Rattus norvegicus: one gene and its partners. The protein of the gene in region 3 interacts with the protein of the main gene of each other region in a pairwise test. Links are inferred from orthologs where the notes say so. Each region holds a gene or a part of one and is shown on either strand. Other genes may lie near its edges. The genes, in order: Prtfdc1, Ddit3, Mcmbp and Asl.

The links.
Region 1: the proteins of Mcmbp (region 3) and Prtfdc1 interact in binary tests that used the Homo sapiens proteins (3 or more experiments, as listed by UniProt). The two-hybrid records come from large-scale screens. The link is inferred for Rattus norvegicus from reciprocal best matches to the Homo sapiens genes MCMBP and PRTFDC1.
Region 2: the proteins of Mcmbp (region 3) and Ddit3 interact in binary tests that used the Homo sapiens proteins (3 or more experiments, as listed by UniProt). The two-hybrid records come from large-scale screens. The link is inferred for Rattus norvegicus from reciprocal best matches to the Homo sapiens genes MCMBP and DDIT3.
Region 4: the proteins of Mcmbp (region 3) and Asl interact in binary tests that used the Homo sapiens proteins (3 or more experiments, as listed by UniProt). The two-hybrid records come from large-scale screens. The link is inferred for Rattus norvegicus from reciprocal best matches to the Homo sapiens genes MCMBP and ASL.

What each region holds. Positions count from the first base shown.
Region 1 is NC_086035.1:88,559,934-88,564,066, reverse strand, and holds the start of Prtfdc1 (phosphoribosyltransferase domain-containing protein 1), read left to right. Parts: upstream 1-1,325; coding exon 1,326-1,373; intron 1,374-4,133. UniProt on the Homo sapiens protein: Has low, barely detectable phosphoribosyltransferase activity (in vitro). Binds GMP, IMP and alpha-D-5-phosphoribosyl 1-pyrophosphate (PRPP). Is not expected to contribute to purine metabolism or GMP salvage.
Region 2 is NC_086025.1:65,000,411-65,004,550, reverse strand, and holds the start of Ddit3 (DNA damage-inducible transcript 3 protein), read right to left. Parts: upstream 2,857-4,140; 5' UTR 2,822-2,856; coding exon of another isoform or gene 2,759-2,821; intron 264-2,758; coding exon of another isoform or gene 222-263; 5' UTR 216-221; intron 1-215. Other genes in the region: uncharacterized LOC128125814 homolog, read right to left, coding at 222-263, 2,759-2,821. UniProt on the Homo sapiens protein: Multifunctional transcription factor in endoplasmic reticulum (ER) stress response. Plays an essential role in the response to a wide variety of cell stresses and induces cell cycle arrest and apoptosis in response to ER stress.
Region 3 is NC_086019.1:192,709,374-192,712,934, forward strand, and holds part of Mcmbp (mini-chromosome maintenance complex-binding protein), read right to left. Parts: intron 2,205-3,561; coding exon 2,087-2,204; intron 1-2,086. UniProt on the Homo sapiens protein: Associated component of the MCM complex that acts as a regulator of DNA replication.
Region 4 is NC_086030.1:32,294,612-32,298,710, reverse strand, and holds the start of Asl (argininosuccinate lyase), read right to left. Parts: upstream 2,804-4,099; 5' UTR 2,543-2,803; intron 1-2,542.

The DNA of each region.
Region 1 (4,133 bases), on a different chromosome or scaffold from region 3:
TGAGAGGCAGTAGACTGAAACTATTTACCTGTGTGCTAGAGAACATCACATTGATGCAGCCAGCACCAAGCCCAGGGACTAATGTCAGGGAGCCCACACCTTGTACCCCTCTTCTTCCACAGTTCGGCTGCTTAAACATTAACAGCCAAAGTGCTGAGCATGGCTGGTCCACCAAAAATAAGTACAATATTATTACACAATTATTCCAATTCAGGGCAACATGAATTGATAGGTAACTTGTTCCCTTCAAAGCAACACAATCGGTATTCCTCTTGCCAATGTGTGCCAGAAAACGAAAATCGAATAGATCTTTTTGGCACTTGATCTTAGCCAAAGAGTGAAGAAGCCATTGTGTTGAGGCGTGCGCGCGTGTACGTATGCATGTATGTGTGTGTTGCTGTGTTTACAACCCCCGTGGCCTTTCACATCCTAGGCAAATGCTCTATCATTGAGCTATACTCTATCCTAGCAAACATCTTTTGGAGAAGACAGAGTCAAAAGAACTATACCCATGTATACCCTTTATTAAACCCAAAGTGGGCCGTGGGCAGGCTCTGGCAAGATGAGGGAGACCAAGGACTATAAACAGAAAGCAGGACCTTAGAGGAAAGAACAAAGGACCAGGTCGCTGGGCTAGAAGAAACCTGGGATTAGGGGTTGGTTTAACAACAGATTCATAAAACAAGGCTTTCTAATCAGAGCAGAGCAATTGCCTTTAGCTACAACCTAGGACAATTAGAGTAAAATGGTAAATCAGATACAGTATTTTGTAAAAAGTCCCTGCCCTGGGCTCATCGGATCACCAGGATTTGGTCGGAGGAAATGCCGGCTCGTGGCGCTTTCCAACTCCTGGCAGGGCGCCAAGATCTGAAGTCCTCCGGGATACTCCGGCCCACTTCCAAAGCCCAGAACGCGCTGCACTGCCTCTCTTTAATGCATTGACTGGGGACAAATGTGCATTTAAAATCTGGCAGGGAGGAGTCTTGGAAATTGCTGGCCTGGGGGCTGCAGCGATGGGCTTTGAGAAGGAAAATAACAAGGGACGGCTTTCTCTCCAGAACGAATCGCAGGCCTGACCCATATCCCCGCGGGGTGCGGAGCCGGCAAAGGGGCAGGCGGGGGGCCGCCAGGGACGCTCCCCGGAGCGCGCTCAGGTGCATCAGGCGCTGCTCCACAGCTGCTCCCGCGCCGCCCCGGGAATGGGCCTCGACTGTAGCCCCAGCTTTCCCGCCCGCAGGCTGGGGGCGGGGCAGCCCCAGCCACATCCCCCCCCCCCGCCCCCACATCCTCCGGGCGCTGTCCGTCCGGCGTTCCCAGCGAGAGACATGGCCGGGAGCAGTGAGAAGGCGCCAGACTCCGGGCGAGGCGTCGTGGTAAATGCGAACTCCGGATTCCCGGCTCCCTTAGCTCTCTCCCCTCCCCTCTCCTCCCTTCGGGGCACCCCTCCACTCCCGCCCCCCAACCCTTTAGCTGACAAGCGTTCGGGAGAGAACCGGCCAAGGCTTTGTTCCTCCTCCGGGCGGAGACCGCTGGTTTTCTCGCATCCAGGCCTCCCTTCTCCACCCGGTCTGACGAAACTCCTACTAAAATCACTCCTTCATCCAGAGTTCCCAATAACTCCTCCCTTCCCACCCTCCCCGCGGGTTCCTGGCCTGGAAGCCAGCCTCCTACCGGGTCCCCACTTCTGCTATCCACAAGGACTCTAGCCTGCCAGCCGGGGTTTAGGAAGATCCCCAGCACGCAGCTCTAGTGGCCTTCCTTTTAGCACTGCCTCCTCACTTCAGTGAGTTTTGAGTTCTGTTTTGAAAACGGCCACTGAGAACTCACTCTTCAGGGCAGCCAAGGTGCAAAGTAGCGCTAGTGAATGCAATCGGAACTCTGAATCTGGGGCGCGGCTCTGCCGAAGCCAGCAGCTAGAGTGTCCTATGCCTTGTCTGTGACGGAAGACAAACTTGATGTGTGAAAAACCCAGTAGTGTGTCAGGATGGAAGTGGGGCCAGGTCCAAACCTCTTCAACTTCAGGGATCGTTCATTCAGGTGTCAGCCCGAGGGCTCCCAGCTCCCACAATATTGAAATTAAACTCTAGCGGATGGTAGTTGTGAGTCCAGGATGGGGTGAAAAGGTGTGAAGGTGGTGGGCGGGGCTGATTTACCATTAAGATCCTCTTTCCAGAGCTCAGCGTGTAATTCGCAGCTAATCTGTTTATGGAAATGAATGGATTTAATTAGAATGAGTGGGTTGGGAAGGAAACACCTCTCAGTTAAATAGAACTGTTCAGGTTGAAAGGTGGGGCTCAGCTCTCAATTAAACAGCAGGACCTTCCTTCCCTCAAGGAGGAATGCCTTTTGTCTGCCGTGCCAGGTTCTGCTCCTACACCTGGTAACCAGATAAACTCTTCTTCCTGGAACTTGCATTCTGGGAAGGGGCACAGGGAAGCCCTGTGAAAACACAGTCTGGATAGTTCAGCCAGCCATTCCTGGAAAGGGGAGGGGAGCAGTGTCTTTACCCATATGATCAAAGAGTCTGCAGTGACATTTCACCCAAGATCAGAAACAGAAACGGAAGGTAAACCATGTGAGGACCCATGGCACAGAGACACATGTCAAGGGCAGAGAGGAGAACACAGTTTCTGATTTGTGCTTTTACAATAAAAACACTCCAGTCGCTGTGGGTATGATAGACCCGGTGGGAGGGGGTGAAAATATGAAAGATGGGGGTTGGGGATTTAGCTCAGTGGTAGAGCGCTTGCCTAGCAAGCGCAAGGCCCCGGGTTCGGACCTCAGCTCTGGGAAAAAAAGAAAGAAAGAAAGAAAGAAAGAAAGAAAGAAAGAAAGAAAGAAAAAAAGAAAATATGAAAGAGGAAGTCATTAAGCTAACTGCCTCCCAAATGACATCTTTAAGGTTCGCAACCTGAAAGTCATACTTGAAACGACTCCAGAATGTACTAAGGTAGATTTGGAAAACCATTGTCAGGTTAGTTTGGGGGATAAATGAAGAATGGAATAAAATAAACTGGGAGAAATAAAATCAACTGTTAAGAACAAACGCCCGGGGTTGGGGATTTAGCTCAGTGGTAGAGCACTTGCCTAGGAAGCGCAAGGCCCTGGGTTCGGTCCCCAGCTCCCGGAAAAAAAGAACAACAACAAAAAAAAAAAAGAAGAAGAAGAAGGAGTGAAGAACAAACGCCCGGGGGGCTGGGGATTTAGCTCAGTGGTAGAGCGCTTACCTAGGAAGCGCAAGGTCCTGGGTTTGGACCCCAGCTCCGAAAAAAAGAACCAAAAAAAAAAAAAAAAAAAAGAACAAACGCCCGGAACGCCCCCAGATGTGAGAGGCACATGGTGGACACAAAGCCCACCAAGAATGAAGCGCTGGATGGGAGAAAGCAAGCAGGAGAGGAGTCGATGTCTAGGGAACAGTTTGACGGAAGTGGACTAGCCAGGGTCATGAGATCGTCAAGAGTGTCTGATGTTGCCGGAAGAGCAAGTCGGATGGGGATGACCAGAGGCCATTAGTGAGGAGCACCTTTCTTCTTCTTCTTCTTTTTTTTTTTTTTTTTTGGTTCTTTTTTTTTTTCGGAGCTGGGGACCAAACCCAGAGCCTTGCACTTCCTAGGCAAGCGCTCTACCACTGAGCTAAATCCCCAACTCGAGGAGCACCTTTCAAATAGCCACCTCGTGGCCAGTCTACTTACAGTACCACGGCAATGTGGAACGCCTTTCAAATTGTGAAATCTAGAGTGCCACTGTACCATAGATGCTAGATGCTTCCAAAGTCAAGTGGCACAATCCAGCTTGAGGTGTAGCTCATATAAAACCCATCCCCATCACCACAGATTATTAAAAATCAAAAGGAGATAAATCTAGATGTACTCATAGGATGCTTAGATTACTAAAGTCTAAAAAGCCTAAAATGAGAAAAACTGTAAACACAATATTCCTATCTATTTGTGTCTACAGAGGCCTTATGAAGGACCCATGGGCATAGCAAGAGGTCAATAAGGAGAGAAGAAGCTAGAGTGAGGCTTGGGCACTGTGAGTAGTTGCTGAACTGCCCAAGTGCCCCCTAACGTTGACGATAACCAGTGTATGACAGAAACACCCTCTGCATATGTTAATTTCTCCAATAAGACTTA
Region 2 (4,140 bases), on a different chromosome or scaffold from region 3:
TAATCTTGGTGTGGACTGAGAATTGGGAAAACAAACCAGTTGCCATTTTTGAGGCTGACTTTGAGACAAGCCAGCTCTAAAACAACATTATGGGATCAGAGAAAGACATGGTCTGACAGCAAAAGCTGGTTCTGGTCAAGGCCTGGTCTAACTCTCATCCCAGCAAAGCAAGTTGAGCAGCATTAGGAGCTGACTGGGAGGGTGGCTAAGATTACCTGCTTTCAGGTGTGGTGGTGTATGAAGATGCACTTCCTTCTGGAACACTGTGGAGAAAGGGGAAGAAACAGGTCCTTTACCTCTAGCCTCTTACTGGTCTTTCTCTAGCTGGTTTCTTAATTTCTGTCATTGGATTTTGAGACAGTTTCTCTGTGAAGCCCGGGGCATCCTGGAATTCTGGAACTCAACTCTGTAGACCAGGCCACAGAGAGGCTCGTGTGTGTGTGTGTGTGTGTGTGTGTGTGTGTGTGTGTGTGTGTGTGTGTCCCTGAAGCCAAGGACAGGCATGCTTAACTTTATTTTTAGTTGCTGACATTTGTAGTCCTGATTACATAATAGCAAAGTCCTGGCCAACTAAGTTTTCTCTAAATCCAGATAGACCTCAGATCTGCCAAAGTGAGAACTAAAATACAGGGAAGAGAGATTTCAGCAGTATTTGCTTAAACTCCATTCCCATCCTAGCCTCCAGACCTGCCCTGGGATCTCCATCTCTTTTGGTTGTTGAGCAGGCATTCAGCTTACACAAAAGGCCTTTCCTACCAAGGGGGTACAGTTCTTACTAAATGGCAACTATAGGTGCCTAAAGCCAAACATTTGGTATCCTTAATTCCTCCCTTCTCAGATACCACAGCTCAGTCTAAAGCACTGGCAACTTCAATATTCTTTAGAAGTACCCAAAACCTAAATATTTCTCACTTTTTCTCATTATTTCCAGATGTAAACTTACCATGCATTATGCATTTCATTCCCTAGATTATTTTTGGAAGCCTTGAAATCTTTTTTTTTTTTTTTTTTTTTTTTTTTTTAGACAGGGTCTTGCTGTGTAGCTTTTGCTGTCCTGGAACTTACTTTGTAGACTAGCTGGCTTTGAACTCTGATCTACCTACCTTTCAAGTGCTGGGGTTAAAGGCATTTGCCATTATTTCCAGCTAAGATCTCCTGTTTCTATTCTTGTCTTTTTTATTTTCATGGCTGCGGGTTGACCTAGGGCCCTCTACATACTAGGCAAGCAGTCTACTATTGAGCTACACACTCAACCCTTTGTTTTTGTATTTATTTTGAGTTAGGATCTGACTATGCTGGCCTGGAGCTCAGAGCTCTGCCTGCTCCTACCTCTTTGAGTGTTGGAATTAAATGCATGGGGTCTTTCCCCAACCCTTTTAATTTAGGACATTCCTCTGCTCAGATCCCCCAATGGATTCCTGTTTCAGGACTGTTGAAAGACTAGCATCCTGAGAATGCTTGCAAGGCTCTACAGGACCTGCTACTTGAGTTTCCATTCACCACCCTCTCCTGCTTACTCTAGTCCAGCTCACTGCCCTGCTCCTAAGGATACTGGCACACTCATCTCAACCCTTCTGCTCCTTCTCTCCCTTCTATAAACCTCTTCCACATTACCTGCTTGGCTCACAGGCTTGCCTTCTTTCCATCTCACCCACCCACTGAGGCAATTCCTGAATGATAAAACCTCTAGCCACCATCCTGAACTATTTTTTCCCTGCTTCTGTTTTTCCCCCCTTTTGCTTTACATTGAAATGTAAGTTTTATTGAGAACAGTTTCGTCTTTTGCTTCTAATATACCCTGGATCCCCAAATGCTTGGCACATAGTGGGTGCTTATTAGGCATTTGTTAGGAACGAATAGAGAACAACTAAGCCCACTGAGCCCAAAGGCAGAGCTGAGCTGCCTGTCTCTGGGGACTGCAGACGCAATATTGCCCTGAGTGTTTCTCTGCAGGGTTGTCCTCTAGGGAAAACTCCTTGGTCTTCCAGTGTGTGGGACCTGGCTTTCATCAGCAGAGGAGCCCCAGGCCTGAGGGTGCAGAGACAAACAGTGGGCTGGCCTGATGCAACGGTTACAGAGATTAGTTGGGAGACAGGACTGAGGAAAGAAGCAGAGATCAGTCCTAAGAGAAGCAGAAGACCCTGGAGAGATCCCAAGTAATTTCCCATAGTTAAAGAGACCCAGGCTGCTCTCTTGTACGGAAACCCAGAAACCTCTGGGGAAAAGGGAAAAACCCATCTATGCTCCTCCCACCGGCACCCCCACTCGCAAAGATCTGTCAGTCTTTGAGTTGTCTTGAACGTTAGAGACAGCTACTAAAGTGGCCATGTTGGTGGTCCCTGAGGCGCTTCAGCTTGAAAGAGTTGGGGGGAATGAGGCTGGTGGAGAAGAGGTGCTAACAGCCGGAGTCCCCAACATTGGGGGGTGTGTCCTGTTGCCCCACCTTTCCTGCGAACCGCCTAGGCCTAAGATGGCCCGCAAATGGTCAGTACTGAGACAAATTTCCGAAGGCAACCGGAGTCCCTTTGCAGAGCAGGGACCAACCTGAGACAAGGGAACGGGAATGCAATCGCCCAAAGAGGTGGCCTGTAAGCACCATTCCCGAATCAGGAATTACCCGCCTTCACTCGCCCCTCAGTCTACAAACTCACAGTGGAAGGGGTGGGGCTACACCCTCAAGGACAGTTGCCTCTAACTTTGTGGAATAGCTATGTTGGCGAGGATGGGAAAGTAAGGGGTAGACGGAGTCAGTACTCGCCTCTCTCCTCAGGTTCCGGCTGTTATTTTGGCTCTGTCGCTGCCACCCGCTCATCTTCAACATGGTATGATCGACGTATTAGACTCAAGATACTGACCTCTGGAGCGGAGAGCGAGTATCTTTTATGCTATTCGGTCCCTCCTGGGGGGGGGTAGTGTCCAGGAGCCTACCAATCAGAAAGCGGCACGCTGGCACAGGCTCCGCCTCACCCCTCACGTCCGCCACTCAGGAGTCCCGTGGCCCCGCCTCCATCGCGCCCTCTGGCTCGAGAGTCTACGTTATCTCGGACCCGGAAGTGGCTTTGGGTCACGAGGCTTCGCAGAGGAGGTGAGTGAGTCATGCGCGCGCGCGGAGGAGAGTGCGGCGAGGGAGGGGATGACGTGGGGGGGGCGGAGGGGGAGCGGGGATGATGCAATGTTTGGCAACCGGTGTCCGCGCGCGCACGCGCAGGAGACGTCGATGGTGGTGGGAGGTGCTGGGGAGCGGGCGGGAGGGGGGGATGGGGGAGAGAGGAAAGAAGGCGGAGCGCCAGCTCACAGTGTCCAACGGCCCCAACGGCTGTCCTTCCTGAACTTGTCTGCCCACCTCCCATCACCTTTAACTTACTCCTCCATAAAAGACTCATTTTCCCTGGCCCCTCCCAACTAATGGGCACCGAGGCTCTTGAACCTCTTTAAAGTTTCCAATTTGTTCACCTGGATTGACATCTTCTGGAGTCTTTTAAGAGACCTCCTCCTCTTTTAGCCTTCTAACGCTTCCCAAAGACTGAGGTACTGGCATTTCCTTGGTAGTCCATCCGCTTCTCTCAGAAGGGCAGCTTTAACGTTTGTTTCAGAATCGTCCACTGCGTGCCAGAATTCAAGTTCTTTGTAGAGTGTAGCCTCCTGCCTACTTATCCTACCCCTGCTTTGTGTGATGCTCTTATGCCCTTCACTAAGCCCAATACCCACCCTTTTCCTTCTCCAAGATAGCAAGTCCTGTGACTCCCTGCTGATTAGCTGGCCTCATGCCTCTAGGTGTCTGGGTTCACGACCTAGAGACTGGGACGTGCATGCACTTGAGCGCATGATTGCCTGGACTGGGTCATTCTAGTTTAATTTGCCCAAGGAATCTACCGTACTCAGTTGTAAATTAAAGAATGATAGGTAAAGGTAAAAACAGCACTGTGAAGAAAACTTGAGTAAAAGTAAAAACATCTTGCAAAACCTATTTTTTGTGCCATGAAAACAGAGGCCATGTGGTGGCCTATTACATAGTCTGTCGTACACTCGGGAGGGGCAAGCCAGAGTTTGTCTAAGTAGAAACTGAACCAAGACCGGTTGCTATTGGATGGTGCGACAGTGACAGGTCCTTGGCCAGACTGCTCCTTCGCTCCAGACCTT
Region 3 (3,561 bases):
AGAAGCTGAATGTTCCATTCCAGAGAGAAAAGCACTGAGAAGGGCTGGGGCCAGTGTGCTAAGAGTGACGAAAGGGCAGACAGTCAATGAAATGCAAAATAAGGAAAAGAGACCCTCTAAGCCCTTTCCTCCACCCTCCCTCCCCCAGGTAAAGATGTAATCCTGGCTGCACAGCTGAGACATAGATGGTCTCTGGCGCCATCTTGTGTCTGAGAGTGGTACTGCACCAGCCTCTGCTGGCATCCCTTACACAGGCCCATGCTGCTCCTTAGATTGCCTGTTTTCTATGTAGGAGGACATGACCCCCCAGGCAGTCACCAGTTCTGCTCCAGACTGAGTCTCAGACCCTATTGGAGAGATGGGCATATGTCTTATGCCAGTGTCTGCTATCCCATTTCCAGGGCTTCACTGTTCTGCTGAGAATATTTAAAGCACACACCAGCAATTTGATTTTATACCTCAAAACCAGGAAGTTCTGAGGACAGAGAAGCAATCTCAGGAGACATGGCCTAGGGAACCGCTAAGATCCTATTTCCGGGTCTATGAATGAGTCACGTTTACAGACAGAACAGGCTTTACCACAGAGATGTGCAAACTCCACTGACAGACAGGCTTTCAGATCATGCACCTCAGCTAAGAAACAGACCAGATAAAAACAGCACCGCAGGGGCAAATGTGGAAGCAGAACAGAAAACCTAGGGGTCTCCTGTAGGTTGATGTCTACATGCAGGTGAGGGACAGCACCAGTTAGGTCAAGGCCACGATTGGACAGTAAAATATAAGGTGGGGACAAAGCTTTTGTAAGGCAGGACAGAAGGAGAAGGAGGGAGAATCAAGATGGAGACAGAGGATGACCCAGATCCCGGTGGTCCTGAATTGCTAAGGGAGTTGGGATGGGTTTCTGTAGGCAAATTTATCTTATCTAGTTGGGCAGTTTATATCCTTATCAATTGGTTGTGAGTTTATTGTATTATGGACTGAGATATAAATCTGATGTTGGGTTGCAGTTTGTTGAGTCTTGATTTTAAGGGGTGGTTGGGAGTTTATATCATAACTATTAGGGGGCAGATGTTGGGAACGTAAACAGAGCAGTGGCCGAGCGTTACCAGAGGATAGCTGCTGCTGGGACCAGGGGGTGGATGCTGGGAATGTGAGCAGAGTCCACAGGAAGAGAGCTGCGAGACAGGCGGTCTCTGCATGAAACTGGCATGGCAGAGACTCGCCTTGGGAACTAGATGGTAGAGAGACTGCTGCCAGGCTCAGAGTAGCCTCGGCAGTGTGAGATGGGATGGAGCTTAGCGGGCGAGACCCCTTGCTGACTGAGATGAGAATATCCTGCAGGTGCCATGTGGTCCTACGGTCCGGCTAGCGTGGGATAAAATAATTCCCCCTCTTTTTTTTTTTTTTTAACCAAAATAGTCTATTAATTTAGACACTCAAGAGCACGGCAAAATGCAAGACACTGTCAGTTTTACCACTATTTCCTAATGAATTACTCAACATGTCTTCAGTCTTAATTACTAATGTCAGACATTAGTGAAAGCACAGCCCACTGAATAAGAGGCTCAAAATCCTCAGGACTCTGCTGCTTCTGCAGGGCTTGAAGTGCAGACTCGACAGGCTGTTCAGAAGGACCTGGCTTCACTTCTTAAGTCCCAAAGTGGCCAAAATTTTTAGTTATCAGAGTAAATCCGGTCCTTGAGATCCTGACACAAATGTGCATTCCAGATGCTTCCAGATAGCAACAAGCCCTGGGGCGTGGAGATGGGCCACTTTATTACCTCAGCTGAGAGAACCAGGCTCCTATGATTTAAAGCTTCTTTACACTTCATAATATGCACACAAAGGAACAAACTCACACAGACTGGAAACGTAATTCTAAGGGAGTCACTGCCACTGCGTTAATTTTTAGATTACAGATTTGTGCTGGGTCAATCAGTGAATGCTGGGTGCATTTTAAATTATGTCAATTGGCAGGTCTTGTCCTTTGTAAATGAGACCCACTAGGAACATAAAGTTAATACTCAAGGTGAGTGGAAAACAATTGGGTTTGTCCCACTCATAAGCCTTCATAATATTATCTTACTGCTGGAACAAGATGTTGGATGATCCGATATAGGTGTTCCGTGAAGGTGCTGTTCTGTGGGCAACCACTCAGGTTAACTGTAAATTTTCCCAGTGGAAGTACATCTCTTCTTGTATACCTAGGAGAAGGGAAAGAACACAAAACCAAGGGTAAGATACTGAGACGCCATCATTATAAAGTTTGCAGAAGCAGAGAGATGGCTTAGTAGTTAGAGCACTGGCTGCTCTTCCAGAGGACCAGGGTTCAAGTCCCAGGCCCACGGAATAGCTCACAACCGCCTGTAACTCCAGTTCTAGGAAGATGCCGTCTTCTGACTTCTACAGGCACTGCATGCACAGATATGCAGACAAAATAGCCATACATATAAGGTAAAAATAGACATTTTTTATCTATCAGAACGGCAGTTAAATAATAGCCACTTTGAGGAATGGGGAGAGCATCCCTTATCCAAAATGCTGAGACCTGAAGTGCTTTACAACATTTGCAGATTTACTGGCTAGGCCTGGCTGACATGAGCTGGTGGTCACTGCCTCACCATCTCACTTCAACAGTGTGCCTATGACGCAGGCACGGCAGACTTCCTGAGTTCCGTGCTTTTCCATGAGGGATGTCTAGTCAAGCCAAGACAGAGCTCTGATGTGACCCTGAGCATTACCCGCCATCTTAGCTGCCACCAGGGGACAGGAGATAAGATGCTTTCTATCACAGCATTTATTAAAAAAAGTACAAAATCCTAATGTTTTGGGAAATGGTTACAGTATGGCACAAATCTATAATGAGAGAACATCAGGTCATTAGAAAGCTTAGGAAGAAGGCTGACTATGGTGGCATGCCCTTAATCCTAGCACCCAGGAGACAGAAGCTGAAGGATCTTGATGTAGTTCCAGGCCAGCCTGGTCTACATAGAACATTCTAGGCCAGGACTACATAACAAAACCTATCTCAAAGAGAGAAAAAAAAAAAAAGTATTGTGATAGGCTAACTAAATATTAAATCTAAAAAGCAGGTAAGGATGTGTGTGCTTCAACCACAACTGATGGGCCCACATTACAACATAAACCAAAGAATATGCTCGAGTATTAGATGGGAAAACTGTTGCCCACGTGAAAGATAATTTTCTTCTTGCTTTTCTTTTTGGGGGGGAAAAAAAACCAAAAAACCTGCCAGGTAGTGGTGCTTTAATCTCAGCACTCAGGAGGCAGAGGCAGGTGGACGGATCTCTGAGTTCAAGGGAAGCCTGGTCTACAGAGTGAGTTCCAAGACAGCTCCAAGACACCCTGTCTCAACAACAACAACAACAACAAAAAAAAACAAAACAAAAAACAAAAAAACAAAAAACAAAACAAAAACAAAAACAAATCCCAAACCAACCCAAAAACCCAATATGGTGGAGTGAAAGGCCAGGCCCTAGCTGGGTGTGTGGTGTGCACTTCTAATTCCAGCACTTGAGGCAGAGGCTGGAAGAGACCTGTGAG
Region 4 (4,099 bases), on a different chromosome or scaffold from region 3:
TGCCCGTGTCACACAATGTGGGACTTTAGTCAAACTCGCATGCCTTGTAAATGCTTAAGACTTCTGGCACAGCTCGGAAACGGAGCTCTTGCTTAGAATCTATGAAATGAGGGACTGCTGGCATGGCTCAGAGTAGAGCCCTTTCAGAGTAAGAAGAACAGACAGTCTCACTCTCATCCTGCTAGTATCCCCCTAGGAAACCTCAAGCTCTGGTTCTTCCCTAAGGAGAAAGTTTAAGCAAACTTAGGAGAAACCCAGGGATACAGTTGGTAGAGTGCTTGTTAGTATGCGTGAAGTTCTGAGTTTGATTCTCAAGGCTCCTTAAGGCTCCTTAAAGCTCGCATAGCGGCTCGTGCCTGGATCCTCAGCCCCCAGGAGGTGGAAGCAGGGTCAGAAGTTCCAGGTTAATCCTCCCTCAGCTACATAGGTGAGTTCAAGGTGGGACTAGGCTATATAAGACCCTGAGTCAAGTAAACAAAATGAATGAAAAATATTTAGGAGAGTTAACTAGAGACATCATCACCATCATCACCACCATCATCATATTCATTCATTCTCTCTCTCTCTCTCCTCTCCTCTCCTCTCCGCTCCTCTCCTCTCCTTTCTCTCTTTTGGTTTTTTGTGACAGGCTCTGTGTAACCCTGGCTATCCTGGAATTCCCTCTGTAGACCAGGCTGGCCTTGAACTCGCAGATCTGCCTGCCTCACCTCCTAGGTGCTGGGATTAAAAGCATGCGCCACCACTGTCCAGGGAGGCATCACCTCTATGTGAGTGGAATAAAAAAGTATCAGTAACCGTGAATGTTTCCTCTGTTGTGTGTGTTGAGGCAAGAAAGAACTCTCTATGTAGCTAGACTTGAATTCACTGTGTTGTTCAGGCTGGCCAGAAATTTGACATTCTCCTGCCTCAGTCTTCCAAGGGCTGGATTGACATGTGTGTACCTGGCAATATCTTGAGTTCTAACAGTATTATAGGCACAGTGTTAAATATTTTATATGGATAGTTTTTTTTTTTTTTAATTCTCACGAGCACATCTAAAAGGCGGCTCGGATAATCACCAAGTTCCTCCAGGTGAAGAAAGGAGAGTCTAGGAGAGAAGGAATAATTTGCCTAAAGACACCAAGACAGGAAGTGTGAGGGCTAGACGCCACATCTAGGCATCTCGCATCTAGGCATCTCGGACAAACGTTAACATCTGTCTGGGAAAGCTCTCCAAGATCTGGCCGAGGGATCACATTAATGAACAACCGGTTAACAGGGTTGCCACCGAGCCTCACATGACAATCACCTGCCTTTGCAGTCCCTGGGAAGAAAATAAACACTTGGCAAGGGAAGGCTGGGTGGGGAAACAGCTCAGCGAGAAAGTGCTGTCCAAGCATCCCCAGTACTGCTTGGGCGGTGGAGACAGGAAGATAGAGAGTATGAGGGAATCCTTGGCTACATAGCCAGCCTGAGGCCAGCCTGGGCTCCTCAAGACCTTGAGTCAAAGCAAACAAAACCCAAAACAAAAGCCAGGTAGTTGAAGACATTCACTGGCTATCAACCAGGTTGAGCTCACTGCGCAGGTGCCTAGGTGGAGGCCATTTGAACACGGGTACCAGCCGATTTCCCTGCTTGCATTCCTTCCTCTCTGAATCATTTTGTGGTGGGGCTCTCCAAGGCAGTAGCCTGTCTTCTATGAGTCTATCTCTGAAGCCTTGGCTTTGAACGACCCTCTTTCCACACACCTCAAACACTCCTGGCTTTGGGACGCCTCTTTGTCCATGTTAGTCATTCTCCTGTCTATGCTAGAGTCTAAACAGAGTGTGTCATAGTGATTTATGCCCTGCACTGGTCCCCTTACTGGGTTCTCAGCTAGCATGGAGAGTGTGTATTATTCATGTCTGAATCACCAGTGCCTGAGGGGGGAGGCAATCATTGTAAGATGGTTGACCGACTAACACCATGAACACCATTGTGGGACACACACACACACACACACACACACACACACACACACACACTGGTTTTTATGAGACAGGGTTCTCATGTAGCCTCAGGTGGCCTCAAACTCCCCATGTAGCTGAAGAGGATTATGAAAAACTGACTTTCTCGCCTCCATCTCCAAAGTGGAGGGATTACAGGTATGTGTCATCATACCAGACACCACCCCCCACTTACCAAAAAACAAAACAAAACAAAACTCAAACACAATCACCCGCAAACCATTTTAACATGGCTGAGCAGTGGGGGCTCACACCTTTAATCTCAGCACTGGGAGGCAGAGGCAGGCAGATCTCTGAGTTTGAAAGGCTAAGTAATGAAAATCTGTCTTCCCCATCCCAAATTTTAACGGTTGTATGGGGAAAAGGATCTCTACGTAGTCTAAATTGACTAGAACTCACCATGTTGCCCAGACTGTCTTCAAACTCAAGGCATTCCCCCTGCCTCAGCCTCCTAAGTGCTTAAACTATCTCTCCAGCTCTGTCTCTGTCTTTTGAGACTGGGTTTCTCTGCCTCCCTCTTTCCCCCTTGCTGGAATTAGAGGATTGTGCGACCATACCTGGCTTCTGTTTTTTGTTTTTTTAAACACAAGGTCTCAAACAGCTTCGGATGGCTTGAAAGTAATTAGGTAGGTCAGGCTGGCCAGAAACTCATGACAATTCTCCTGTCTCGGCCTCTCTAGTGCTAGGATTACAGGTGTGGGGCTGCATGCCTGGTTTAGGGATTTTTAACGTGGCCAAGGCAAACCCTAACAAAACCTACACTATGAAAACACCCGACAAGCTGAAATTAGACCAAGGTAGGAACACCTAGAATTAAGGAGGATCCGGGCGAGCCCTGCAGCGATCCCGGCATGCACCACGGCGGTCCCAGAGTGCCTTGCGGCACACACACAGAAACGGTGAGCAGAGCAGAGCTGGCGTAACGTGAGGTTCTTCTCTTCCAGCGGTTGTGTACGACGAGGCAGAGGCAACATGGAAGTGTAAGCGACACGTCCAGGGGAAAGCAGAATCAGCTGGGGACTGTGAGGCGGCTGGCGGCTAGACCTCCGGACCCGCGAGCAGGGCGGGTGGGCGGGGTGCACGGACCGGAAGTGCATGGAGGTGGGGCGGCAGGGGAGGGACCCTGCTGGTGTTGGAACCCGCTCTCCTCCGGTATCTTTTGGGGAGGGGAATGTTGGAAGGATAGAGAGGGGTTTTATTTTTTCTCTTTCTTCTGGTTCTGGGAATGAAACCCAAGACCTTGCACGTGCTCTGGAAGTAGTGTGACCCTGAGATGCGTGCCAGTCACAATCATCTTGTGATGTGGGCTCTGCATGTGCTCGGGGAAACACTCTACCACTGAGTCAGATCCCCAGCCATCAGCACCGCCATCATTGTTTTGTAATGGTGGAAATGGTACCCAGGACTTTGCTAGGCAAAGCCTTTGCCACTGACCTGCATCGCCATCCGTTATCGCCGTGTTCTTTTGGAAATTGGTACCCAGGGTCGTGAAAGTACTGGCTGTGCTAGTTTTCTTTCAGTTACTGTGACAAACACCATGACCAAAAGTAATCTAGGGGTAGAAAGGGTTTATTACATCTTAAACTTCCAGGACACAGTTCATTATGGAGGGAAGTCAGGGCAAGAACTCAGACAGGAAACTGAAGCTTCAGACCAGTTCAAGAACTCTCTCTGGTTTACTCTCTGTGTTTTCTAACTTCTTTATGAAGCAGTCCATGGATGGTGGCACCTGCCGCGGTCTGTATAACCCCTCATCCCTTTTATTTTTTATTTCTATTTATTTGGGGGGGGGTGTTGGGGCTTGCGTAGTCGTGGCTTTCCTGGAACTAGCTCTGTCGATCAGGCTATCCTTCAACTCCCAGAGATAGGCCTGCCTCTCCCTCCCAAGTGCTGGGATTAAAGGCCTGTGCCACCATCAGTTGGCCAGGCGGTACCCTCCTGCATCATTTAATAATCGGGACAGTCCCTCGTGGACACGCCCATAGAACAACTTGGTAAAAGACAGTTTATCATTGAGGCTTCTTTAGAGGATTCTAGGCTGTTTCAAGTTGACAGTTAAGATTAACCAGGAAAGCAGGCAAGGTTTTCTCCCCCTCCCCCCAGACAAAGTTTCA